Neurospora crassa OR74A: one gene and its partner. The protein of the gene in region 2 interacts with the protein of the main gene of each other region in a biochemical or structural test. Links are inferred from orthologs where the notes say so. Each region holds a gene or a part of one and is shown on either strand. Other genes may lie near its edges.

What was found.
Region 1: the proteins of crf6-1 (region 2) and NCU00133 form a complex in vitro, tested with the Saccharomyces cerevisiae proteins (2 studies listed by BioGRID). The link is inferred for Neurospora crassa OR74A from reciprocal best matches to the Saccharomyces cerevisiae genes CHD1 and POB3.

The regions. Positions count from the first base shown.
Region 1 is NC_026503.1:2,735,126-2,740,868, forward strand, and holds NCU00133 (FACT complex subunit pob-3), read left to right. Parts: upstream 1-2,448; 5' UTR 2,449-2,695; coding exon 2,696-2,706; intron 2,707-2,862; coding exon 2,863-3,085; intron 3,086-3,141; coding exon 3,142-3,635; intron 3,636-3,693; coding exon 3,694-4,065; intron 4,066-4,122; coding exon 4,123-4,720; 3' UTR 4,721-4,984; downstream 4,985-5,743. Other genes in the region: NCU00132 (hypothetical protein), read right to left, coding at 401-981, 1,081-1,201. UniProt on the Saccharomyces cerevisiae protein: Component of the FACT complex, a general chromatin factor that acts to reorganize nucleosomes. The FACT complex is involved in multiple processes that require DNA as a template such as mRNA elongation, DNA replication and DNA repair.
Region 2 is NC_026501.1:4,376,405-4,382,322, forward strand, and holds the end of crf6-1 (chromodomain helicase, variant), read right to left. Parts: coding exon 2,307-5,918; intron 2,251-2,306; coding exon 1,863-2,250; 3' UTR 1,195-1,862; downstream 1-1,194. UniProt on the Saccharomyces cerevisiae protein: ATP-dependent chromatin-remodeling factor which functions as substrate recognition component of the transcription regulatory histone acetylation (HAT) complexes SAGA and SLIK. It recognizes H3K4me.

The DNA.
Region 1 (5,743 bases), on a different chromosome or scaffold from region 2:
GACTTCGTTGCTAGGTGTAGACACGTCCCGGAATCATTCGAAAACGATTGCGATAAGCTATCCTCTAGGGTTGAACTATCGTACTGCTACACTTGGTCATTGTATAGATGCTGAATGTTAGAAGTATGTCGGAGGTCCAAGGGTTTGGTGCATCGCCGAGTAGGAAACATGCGACCCAACAACACGAATCCAAGCCACTGTTGCCAATCTTTCCAATCCTGCCAAACGCCTTCACGATGCCTGTCCCTCAACGACCCTCTTATGATTCTGAAACGCCGAAAAGAATTGCCGCCAACCCAAGCGTTCTAATGCCCTTCTACAGTCCGAGGAGGCGCTTGGGCGTCTAGATGAACCATGGCAGGAAACGGAATCCCACTGCAGGCTCATTGCCTAATGTCCTTCATGGTAACGCCCGGGCTACGTCGTCTCGGTCACCAAGCTTCCGCTTGCTGTTTCTCGGGGAGCCGCTCGGGGAGCCGCTTTCACCCTCGGTCCATTCCATAACTTCCCATTCGACTTGAACTGTACCACTCGTATTCTGGCTGCGACCTTTGGCCGCGCGAAGAGTACCGAGTCGGCTGCCCTCAAGCAAGCTGTCCAGCCAGGGTAGGCCTCCCACAGTCTGTCGGCCGATATACGTTACTTCTCCCTTTCCTTCTTGCTTCTTCGTTTCAGGTTCATTCTCGCTTTCGGAATCCGGCAACATACCCAAGTCTTCCAGGTCCGCTAGATCTTCTGGATGCAGGCTGCCCAACGATAGCTGGATAAAATCAGCTTCGCTACGAGGTTCCTCGGACCAGTAAGACAAGGGGGTGCCGCAATAACCGCAAAAGTGGCGCATAGAATGCTGTTCAAAGGGCGAAGTGTAGGCGCGATGGATCATCGACGTCCTTTCGTCGGGAGAAAACGAGAGCGTCGAGCTATGGTACCATGGCAAAGGTACCCGCAGGAAAGCAGCCAATGGTGAGGCATGGGAGATATCTGCATTGGCAACATTTGGTCAGATGATCTATACTCCTAGCAAAATGGAGATAGTGATCGGAATTTCCTGAGAGTCAGTATCGCTGGACAGGTTCCTACATTGAGAAGGCGGTGGGTTGAAGATGACTTGCGCCGCCTGTGTAGTGGTTTGCGGAAACTGGATGATGTAACGATTGCGGCCGCATTGGCAGCCACCACGGAGGGGACGCTCGAAGCTCATCTTTGAAAAGGTGTAGAAACAACAAGGCAACAAGAGTGATTGATGGTGGAAAGATTGATTCAAGCTTCGTTGGGATCCTTGGGGGGCCAAGTAAGTGTGCAAGTCGGAAGTTCGGTATACTAATAGCTCCAGCTAAGGTTCAATTGAAGCAGGCAAACAAACGGCCCAGGCAACAAAGGAGAGCTTCGTTCTGTTTGAATAAAGAAACCGAGCGAAATATGACGATCAGGGCAGACGAGTGACGGAAGGAAGTCGAGGCGGGGCAGCTTGAGCGGGTGTGCGGGATGCCACCAGTTCAAGCATGTAATACGTCAATCGTGGGGTGGCGTATAAGTGCCCCTCGTGGTCTCCAGGTCAAGGCCGCAGGCAGGAACGTCTACGACGGGAATTGTCACCTTCGGTGAGCGAGTCTTCCGCCCTTGTGAAACAGCCAATGGGCACAACAAGAACGAACTAACTTGAGAGTTATGTTTGTGTTCAAGGGAAGAAAAAGAAAGAGATCAAGAAGTGGTACAAGGCAGAGAACATTACCACTTAAGGTGACTAAGTACCTCTAATACAATCCCATGTCATGAAACAGGCGCGGAAGATATCATATGCAACCACTTAAAGCTCCACGCGCTAGCCCCACATGCTTTTTGGGGGGTTGACGATATTGGGAATCGCGCCCATGTCCATGAACCGAAGCTATGTTGAGTTTGTTTAGTAGATTGAGAGTGGCAACCCAAGTGGCATATTTGGAACCAGTTGAAAGCTTCAAAATGCTCTGACCAAACAAGGAACGCTTGTCGCGAGGGGACACTTTTCCCACGTAACGAAGCGACTCGCTTGGAACGTCCTCTTTCCCTCCCGTGTTCAACGGGCCGAGCACTAGCGGAACGAATACAAGCAAGAAGGAGCGAGATACAAAGAATTCAAATGTGAAAAAACCACCCAACATAATTGTTGATCCGTAACTACAAGAGAATGGAAGGTGTTGTGTTACTGTAGATCGCGACAGATTGGAGGACAAGAGGACGCAGTTTCTTTTAGACATTCAAGATGATACAAACAGTGAATGACTCTCAGAGCGACAAGAAGGCCTGTGTGTCGTTGGCAAAGCTTCCTTGGAAGGTGACAACTGAATAAAGTGGTGGTGTTCTTGCAGGCTTGGGAGAGAAATCAGAAGCTCACAGTTGCCACGCGCTACAACCAAGCTGTTGCCCACTGCGTAGACCCTACACGTACAGTAGTACTGCGACTTGCCACCTGCCACCAGCATGGGTCGTCGCCTAGCCCAGCGGAATGCCACCTGCCAGCCGAATTAACCTTCAATTAACGAACTGGCCTAGTCGCGACACGGTCAACTTTCTCCGAGGCACGCGAACCTTCAGTTGGATTGTTCATCAGTATTTGCTTGCAACACTTTGCAATCACTGCCACAACATCAGACGCCATTTCCAACTTGTCCATCAACCCCAACTCACCATTAAACCAGTTGGATAGAGGGGCAATATGGCTGCCATGTAAGTCGCATACCTTTCTGGATTTCATGCTTTCGCGCGCTCTTGCTCGTCTAACCCTGCGACGACGGATGTGCCCCGCTCCATCTACGCCGTAGGGCACGGCTTTCACCGGCGGAGATCACAGCTCAGTGCCATTTCTAATACCTTCATTTACAGCGAGAGTTTTGACAATATCTACTTGGATCTGTCCAAGGAGAGCGGAAAGTCGAGATTCGCGGAAAATGGCTTGGGATGGAAACCTGCGGGTGGCGGCGAAGCGTTCACTCTCGACTCGAGCAACATCGGCGGTGCTCAATGGAGCAGGGCGGCGAGGGGCTATGAGGTTAAAATCCTATTGCGAAGCTCTGGCGTAGTTCAGCTCGATGGTTTCCACCAAGAAGTACGAAACCTATCCACGCGCCATCGAAGCGAAGGAACGCTGACGTGTTGCCACAGGATTACGAGCGCCTTAGCAAGATCTTCAAGAACTGGTACAGCGTGAACCTCGAGAACAAGGAACACTCTCTGAGAGGATGGAACTGGGGCAAGGCTGAGTTTAGCAAAGCCGAGCTCACTTTCAACGTCCAAAACCGACCGGCCTTTGAGATTCCTTACTCCGAGATTTCCAATACAAATCTTGCCGGAAGGAACGAAATCGCAGTCGAGTTCGCCGGCAACGATGGCGGCAAGTCGAACGGTCACAGCGGAACAGGCGGAAAGGGCAAGAAGGCGTCGGCCGGCAAGGATCAGCTGGTCGAGGTGCGCTTCTACATCCCTGGAACGACAACACGAAAGGAGGCCGAGGGTGGTGAGGCTGGTAGCGACGCCGATGAAGAAGAGAAGAACGCCGTGACTCTGTTCTACGACACCCTTATTGAGAAGGCCGAGATTGGTGAGACGGCGGGTGATACTATCGCTACATTCCTCGATGTGCTACATCTCACGCCCAGGTACGTGGAAACTGCACGCTGGTTGTTGATCCTTTTCCGGTGCTAACTCTCCCGATAGAGGACGTTTCGACATCGACATGTACGATGCCTCCTTCCGTCTCCGTGGCAAAACATACGACTACAAGATCCAATACGATGCTATCAAGAAATTTATGGTGCTTCCCAAGCCGGACGATCTCCATTTCTTGCTTTGCATTGGTCTCGACCCGCCCCTTCGTCAAGGTCAAACACGTTATCCATTTGTGGTGATGCAGTTCAAGGCGGACGAAGAGGTGACTCTTGACCTGAACATCACCGAGGAGGAACTCAACGGAAAATACAAGGACAAGCTTCAGAGCCACTACGAGCAACCACTTCATCAGGTTGTGGCGTACATTTTCAAGGGACTTGCGAACAAGAAAGTCACTACACCAGCCAAGGACTTTACAACGTGAGTTATATCTGTTCATTTCATAGCCAGCAACGGTACTGACCTAGGAACCCGCAGGCACCGTCAGCAGTACGGCATCAAGTGCTCTATCAAAGCCAGTGAAGGATTCCTCTACTGCTTGGAGAAGGCGTTTATGTTTGTCCCCAAGCCGGCCACGTACATCTCATACGAACAGACACAGTCCATCACGTTTTCACGCGTGGGCGGTGCGGTCTCGGCATTGTCGACGTTCGACATTACAGTCCACATGAAAAACGGCGCGGGCTCATCCCAATTCAGCAACATTAACCGTGAAGACTTGAAGGCTCTCGAGGAATTTTTCAAGCTCAAAGGACTGCGTGTCAAGAACGAAATTGATGATGACACCAACCTTATTGCCGCCGCCTTGGGCGATGACGACATGGCTAGCTCGGACGAAGAGGCCGTCGGCCCCAAGGCTGATCGTGGCTCCGCTGACGAGGATGAGGAGAGCGTGGATGAGGACTTCCAGGCTGAGTCCGAAAGCGACGTGGCGGAGGAATACGACAGCAACCATGAGAGTGATGGGTCGGGCAGCGAGGAGAGCGACGTCGACAATCGGGTCGATGATGAGGATGAGGATATGGATGATGACGAGGGAGAGAAGCGCCCCAAGAAGAAGAAGAAGACGGCTTAGGTTTATTTTTCATGTTGGCGCGTCGTTACTTGTTTGATTAAAAAGGCAGATCACAGGCTGGAAGGCAGGCAGGCAGCTGGGTATTTGGGGCGTTCCGGTACTTTCGTGACACGAATATGTGTTAATTCTGTATTTTCTCTACCATATATCGATACGATACTTGGGGCGTCAAAGACGACATTCCCAACGGCAGTGTCAAACTAGTATCTCGATGTTCCCTCAACTTGGGCGCGCAATGGAGCTAATGAACACTGAAGAGCGGCAGGCAGATGGTCAGCTACCTAGTTGATCCGTTATGGTTCTTTTTTTTCCCCTTCGACTACAACGAACATAAGACATCGGCACATCCTTTGAGACTTCGCTTCTTCTTCAGGGCCGCAGGATGGATAGAGGCCGTACTCCAAAAGTACGGCATGGAATGTATCAGCCTGCAGGGCGTGCAGGCGGTTGAGGTGGGTATCGCTCTAGCGGTCAAAAATCTACCTACCTGGTAGGTAGGTACCTACCTCTATGCGTTCCCGCTCTGTCTACACTACACTAGGATGCACATTCCTTCTAGTGTACATAGTGGTGCCCTGCGTGGCCCGGTGGGCACTTCGGTTGATGCGGAGCGGTCCCTGCTGAGTGCGCTTCGGCAGACTTCCATTCAGCTGGGCGGGCTTTAATTCGGCTCCAAAGTTAAGCCCCACCAAGGCGGTGGGTATGACCCATTTCCGCGTTCCTCCTCCTCCCTTTGTTTTCTGTCGACCAGTCCAGAAGCCATTGATTGGTGCCAATCATCAGCTCACGGCCTCTCCTTGGTGCTGTATCGGACAGCCACACCTGCACCGTGATAAATTTATTCTCACTCGTCCTGGTATTTTTTGAGACCTGATACCGCGCCCAAAGGAAGCATCTGCCTGTTTCGATCTTCACGTCCCGGAGCAGGGAAAAACAAAAGTACCCGATTAGCACCGCAAAGGAGATTTACAGTAATGGAAGCCAACTAAAAGGTTCCCGCCTTTGGAAACCATGTCTTTTTGG
Region 2 (5,918 bases):
ATAGGCAAAATACCAAGTAAAATTATAATATATTATTATAAGTATATCTTTAATATTGTATAATAGTAGAAATATATATAAAGGAGAATTTTTTTTATAATGTAGTTTCGTTTATAATATAATTGTACGTTAATTATATTTCTACAAGTTAGTATCCAACTACTTTAGGGCGTATTTATTATTAATTAAAATCCAGTAAATTAATTTTAATTTATTATAGATTGTAAATATAGAATAAATTGAATAATATAGTATTATTAGGGGGCGAATATTTAGAAAGGGTATACCCAAATTATACCGCTAAAGAAAAAAGAACTATTTCCTTCCGCCGACCTTCGTTACTATTACTACTATACAATTATTAGATAGTACGATCCTGCCGGCTTACTATTAAGGATTTTACTATATAAGCTCTTAGTTGGGTAATAATTAGTATATACGGCTATAGATGGTAGAAAATTCAGGATCCCGTCCGCTCTCCTATAGATAAGCTACTAATCGCTTAATTAATAGTTAGGTCAGTAACGACCAGCGAATCCCAGGTGCTGTATGTTTTTTTTCTACTTTATGTATTATACCTTTATATCGTTCAAGTTCGTGTGCTTAGCCCTTTTTTTTTTTTCTCTCTTCCCCCCACCTCCCCCCCCCCCCCCCCCCCCTTCCTCCGCTTGGTTTTAGAGCTGAATTCGCTCAGCTCCTGTGATGGTGCGTTGAGTTGGTTGTTTACAAGGTTAGGGGTGAGTTGGGATGGGTGAACGTGAAATGGTCATGGAGAAGTCAACTGAACAAACAAACGCATAGCGGGGTGAAGATTCTTCAGACACGAATCATAAAAGAACATGGAACATGGCCTGGACGTTGCTTACATGCTGTGGGATCTGCTCCTAAACGTGCTCTGTCTACAATCGTGATCGCAAACGCATCGCCGGTAACCCGTCTTGTGCCCGTGTATGTCGTGGCCTCATACGTGCCACCATCGATACCGAGAATGCCAAACAACTCATTTGTTGTCACTAGTAACTGTCTGTCATTATCCCTTTCTCCGACCCTAAAACATGCACCCTCCATCGAATGATACGCAGGTGAGGATAGACAGGTAAAGAACAACAACACACACTCTCATATTATATCATCACCTACTATGATGAAGTTGAACGCACCAAAACACAAACAAACAGATGAGAAAGGTACAGATCGACGATGCAATTATGGATATCATTTCATTGTCTCTTCTCTCTTTCTTTCTAAGTTTAGGGCGTGTTCGGCGACTGAAGATAAGTGGGGGGAAAAACACAACAACGACGCACGGTCCCTTCTCTTTCCGCCATCTTCCCCTGTCCCAAGTAAGTGATCCTCAATTTTTTGCAGGAGGAATTCGGTATAGTTTTGTTATTTCCCTTTTTTGTACGCTCTCAGAACCAACCATCCATCCATTCCCCTCAGTTTTATTGCTGCTGAGATCACTTGAAAAAAGAAAAGAAAAAAAAGTAAGAAAAGCAAGACTGTTTGAGGCATGTTGATGAGTGCCTGACGAGTAGAACGCTTGCGTGCCTTTCTTTTACGTCGGCGCACGCGGTTTCCGCAAAACCATACACAACAACGAAAATAACCATCATCGGCGATAGGATAATGCTGAACCCTTCATAAAAGCGCGCGCCCTTTCTGTAACATAAATAATTCCTCATTACAGGTATCGCTCGTTCCAATGTAACACCACGCCCGCCCGTGTACTTGTCAACTCCCAGATGAGGATAGAGGAGCAGAAAATCAGAACAACAACCCCAGTCGAGATATCTAAACCCGTACGCCAGACAATGCAAGAGCTGAGTAACAATTATTGATGGGAGAAGAGGGTGGTTCCCCTAGTAAGGCCGTTGCTGCTGAGAGGGACTGCGGCTGCTCTGCCATGAGTGACGGATCGGTGCTCCCCTATCGATGTCCCGACGATGGCGATAAAAGTTGAGTCGATCGCCATTCTCGTAATAGTTCGGGCGCCGCTTGGGCTCCTCTCGTCGCTCTTCGCGCCGGTCCTCGCGCCGGTCGTCGCGGTAAGGGTCACGAGATCTTCGATCGTCGCGATCGCTGGCAATCTCGCCATCTTCGAGATCCTGGCGGCTCGGCTTCTTCAGATTCTGAGATCTGTCCTCCTTGTTCTCGCTATCCTTTTTGCAAAGGTCGCCGAACATGCGCTGGAGTCTTCGGCCCGACACCTTGACCTCACCGATGGGCCAGATCGAAGAAAGGAATTCCCTGTATCCATCGTTAGCCAGTGTGAAAGCACAATCTGAGGGAGTTTCTAGACTTACCAGAACTGTGGCTCCAAACCATCCAGCGGGTTCTTCTCCTCCAGCTGCTTAAGGAAATTACCAAATGCCCGAATCTCCTCTCCCAAAATTTTGGCGCGTTCTTTGGCCGCAGGAAAACGTTCCTTAGAGTACATGATGCGTTCCATGTTCGCTTTGAGGGGCCGAAGTAGAGACCAAACAAGTTGGAAGTTGTCCGAGCTATCGATCTCATCATTATTCAACTTGGCAAGTTCATGGAAGCGCTCCACCGCTTTCTGCCTGTCCCGCTTCCATTTCTCCAATGTTTCGGGATCGACCTTGGGTGCCTTGTCCTTCTTCTTGTCGAGTTTGCTATCTGTACCACGACGTTCGTCTTCCACCCGACGATGCTTCGAGCTGCGCTCTTCGTAATCATCGGTGTACTTCCGTTTGTGGTCAGGCCTGGGGGTCCCCCGGTCATTCGCGTTGCTGAGAGTCCGATGGTGGTGGTCCCGGTGAGGAATAGACTTTTTAACGCCCAATGGTGCAGGAGACCCGGAGATGGAGCTAGCTTCACCGCGTCGATGGCCGTTGTTCGTGAGAAGCTTCTTGCTCCGATGGTGGTTCTCCACTGCCTTCTTAGCGGCAGCATCATTAGAGTGCTTGGCCAACAGAACAGACAGGAGATACTCGGACCTTCGGACCAAATGAACAGCACCAGGGGATTGAATCCCTACAGCCTCCGTCTTCTTTCGTTCTTCCCGTTTGTCGACACGATGCTCCTCCAGGAAGAACTTGTCGTGCATCTGCAACTCAGGATCGTCCCTGATTTGCGTCCACGCACCAAATCCGTACCTGTCGATTCCAATAAGCAGCATGGCATCCTCGCGTGCACCCCAGTCGCAAGTATATGCGGCAGCCTTGGAAGCTTCGGGAAGCCTGAAACTGAGAATGTCTGCGTGCTCCCGGAGGACGCGACGCAGGAGTTTGAGCTGAGGGGGTCGCTCCACGACAGTCTCTGCGTTGACTTTCCGCACCTCGCCAAAATCGACAAGTACAGCCTTCTTATCCTTCTTCGCCAGTGGCTTGCCAGCCCTGGCTTCTTCTTCGCGAAGTCTCTCGTTGTTCGCATCTACAGCGCGGCGACTGATAACGACAAGGTCCTCGATAATAGACTTCAGAAAGTCCCGATCTCTATCACTAAGGCGGGCATCCTGGACAACCTCTTCTTCGCGGTCGTCCAAGGAACCGTACCTGAAGAAGGCCCTGATAAGGTTTCGGGTTTCTTTCTCATTGAGGGGGCGTTTGGGATCAGAAAGCAATGCACGTTGCTCTTCGAGCTCTTCCTGCTCTTCCCTCTCGCGTTGTCGCTTCTTTGCCAGACGCTCAGCTCGATCGTTCTCTGCGCTCTTTTTGGAGCCTTTCAACGCAGCTTTTCTAGGAGCATTCTCCTCTATCGTTTTTGCCAAGTACTCCTCTTCCTTCTTTCTATTTTCCTCAGCCTTGATGGCAGCAAGCTGCTCGGCTGGAATGATCTGATCCCAGTCAAGGGCGAGATCGTCAACTTTGACATCGGTGACCTGCATCCAGTTATCCCAGTCGATACCACCACTGCTCAGGTTGATCTTGTCATCGACATCAGTTTTGGTAACTTCGGCATTCTCGAGGATAGCATCGATATCGAGCTGCTCCAGCTTCTGCTGGTTGCTAGATTGTTCGAACAGGTTCTGGGAACGCATCTTGAGGATCATCGAGATATCCTCAGCGGTCTTAGCCTCGTCCATCTTGAGGCCGCGCTCCTTGAACTGCTCTTTGAGAGCCTTGCCTTCATCTGTCACACCGGCCTGAATGGTAAGATACTCCAAGAAGAGCTTGTTGCGGGCTCGCTTTACAACTTCCTCTTCAATAGTCTGCTTGGCCACGAGGCGGTAGACATTAACAGGTCTTTTCTGGCCGATACGGTGAGCTCGAGCCATTGCCTGAAGATCGGCCTGGGGATTCCAGTCCGAGTCATAGATGATGACAGTATCAGCCGTCATAAGATTGATTCCAAGGCCACCGGCGCGGGTAGACAAAAGGAAGCAGAAATCATCGCTGCCCTCGGCGTTAAAATGATTGATCGCCATACGTCTTGGGCCGGCAGGAATGGTACCGTCGAGTCGCTGGAATTGATATCCGCGAACACGGAGATAGTCACCCAAAATGTCTAGCATCTTGACCATCTGACTGAAGATCAGAACACGATGTCCGTCCTTCCTAAGTTTTGCCAGCAGCTGATCAAGAAGCATCATCTTGCCGCTACTTGTAATGAGACCCTTGATCTGGTCTTCACGGCGTGTGCTGCCGTTGAGGACACGCTCCTCGGCACCCTGGAACATGTACGGGTGGTTACTGACTTTCTTCAGCTCCATCATGATGTTGAGCAACGATTGCTTGTGGCCGTTGCTCGCGTCGCTGAGGGCAGCATAGTTGCGTGTGAGAATGTTCTTGTAGTAGTCAAGTTGCACGTCAGACAACTCAACTCGGATGATCTTTTCGGTTTTGGGGGGGAGGTCCGACTCGACCGTCTCCTTGGTGCGACGCAAAATGAAAGGAGCGATTGACTGATGCAACTCGCGGAGCTTCTCTTGGGTCCTGATACGCCTAGCCTCATCCTGTTCTTCATCAGTGGGACCTTTGTTATCTGCGGTAGACAACGCTTCAAGCTCCTCATCAATGACGACCTTTCCGGGGTTAAGGAAGTCGAGGAGGGCTGAGAGTTCGGCCAGATTGTTCTGAATGGGTGTGCCGGTAATGAGGACCTTGCAAGGAACGCCGAAGTTGTTGAGCTTGATGTAGAGCTGTGACTCTCGGTTCTTGAGACGGTGGGCCTCGTCAACAGCGAGAACTTGCCATTTGATGTTCTTGAGATGATCCGCATCGGCCAAGATGTAGTCATAGGAAGTGACTAAGACATTGAACTTGGTCTTCTTTGGGTTACCATCCACAAAAAGTTCGTAATCTCGAATGTTGGACCGAGCTGCCTCCGGGCCCAGGTAAACGACGTAATTGAGATCCGGAGCCCAATGATTAAATGTATCGCACCAAGCGGGGATGACGCTAAGAGGAGCGACGACAAGGAACGGTCCTTCCTGGCCGCGTTCATTCCGTAACCAGCTGAGGAACGAGACGCTTTGGACAGTCTTTCCCAGACCCATTTCATCGGCTAAGATGACGTTGTTGCCCCTTACCCAGTTGAGAGCAAGGAAGTTAAGGCCTTTCATTTGGAACTCGCGAAGCTCGCCGCCCTTGATATAGTCAGGCTGCTTCTCCAGTTTGGTCATCCTCGACCGGGTATCGGGGTTAGTTTGCTTGCGGTCAGACTGCCATGACCGGTTGCATCGGTCGAGGAACTGGTTAATCTTGTCCTGAGCAAGTTCGGCCACGAGAGACTCGGCTTCCCAGGTGCACTCGTCGTATTGCAGGCCCTTCCACTTGATGTAATACTCGGTGCCCTCATCACCGTCTCTGACAGCCACAACGCGCTCGACCTTTGTGTAGTCTTCGAGGGCCTCTTGCTCACGTTCTCTATCCAGGTACCACTGCTCTTTCTGCTCCGGACTGATATCGTCGCCACCGAATTGCATCTCCAGTTCGTACTCAACAACCTTCTTG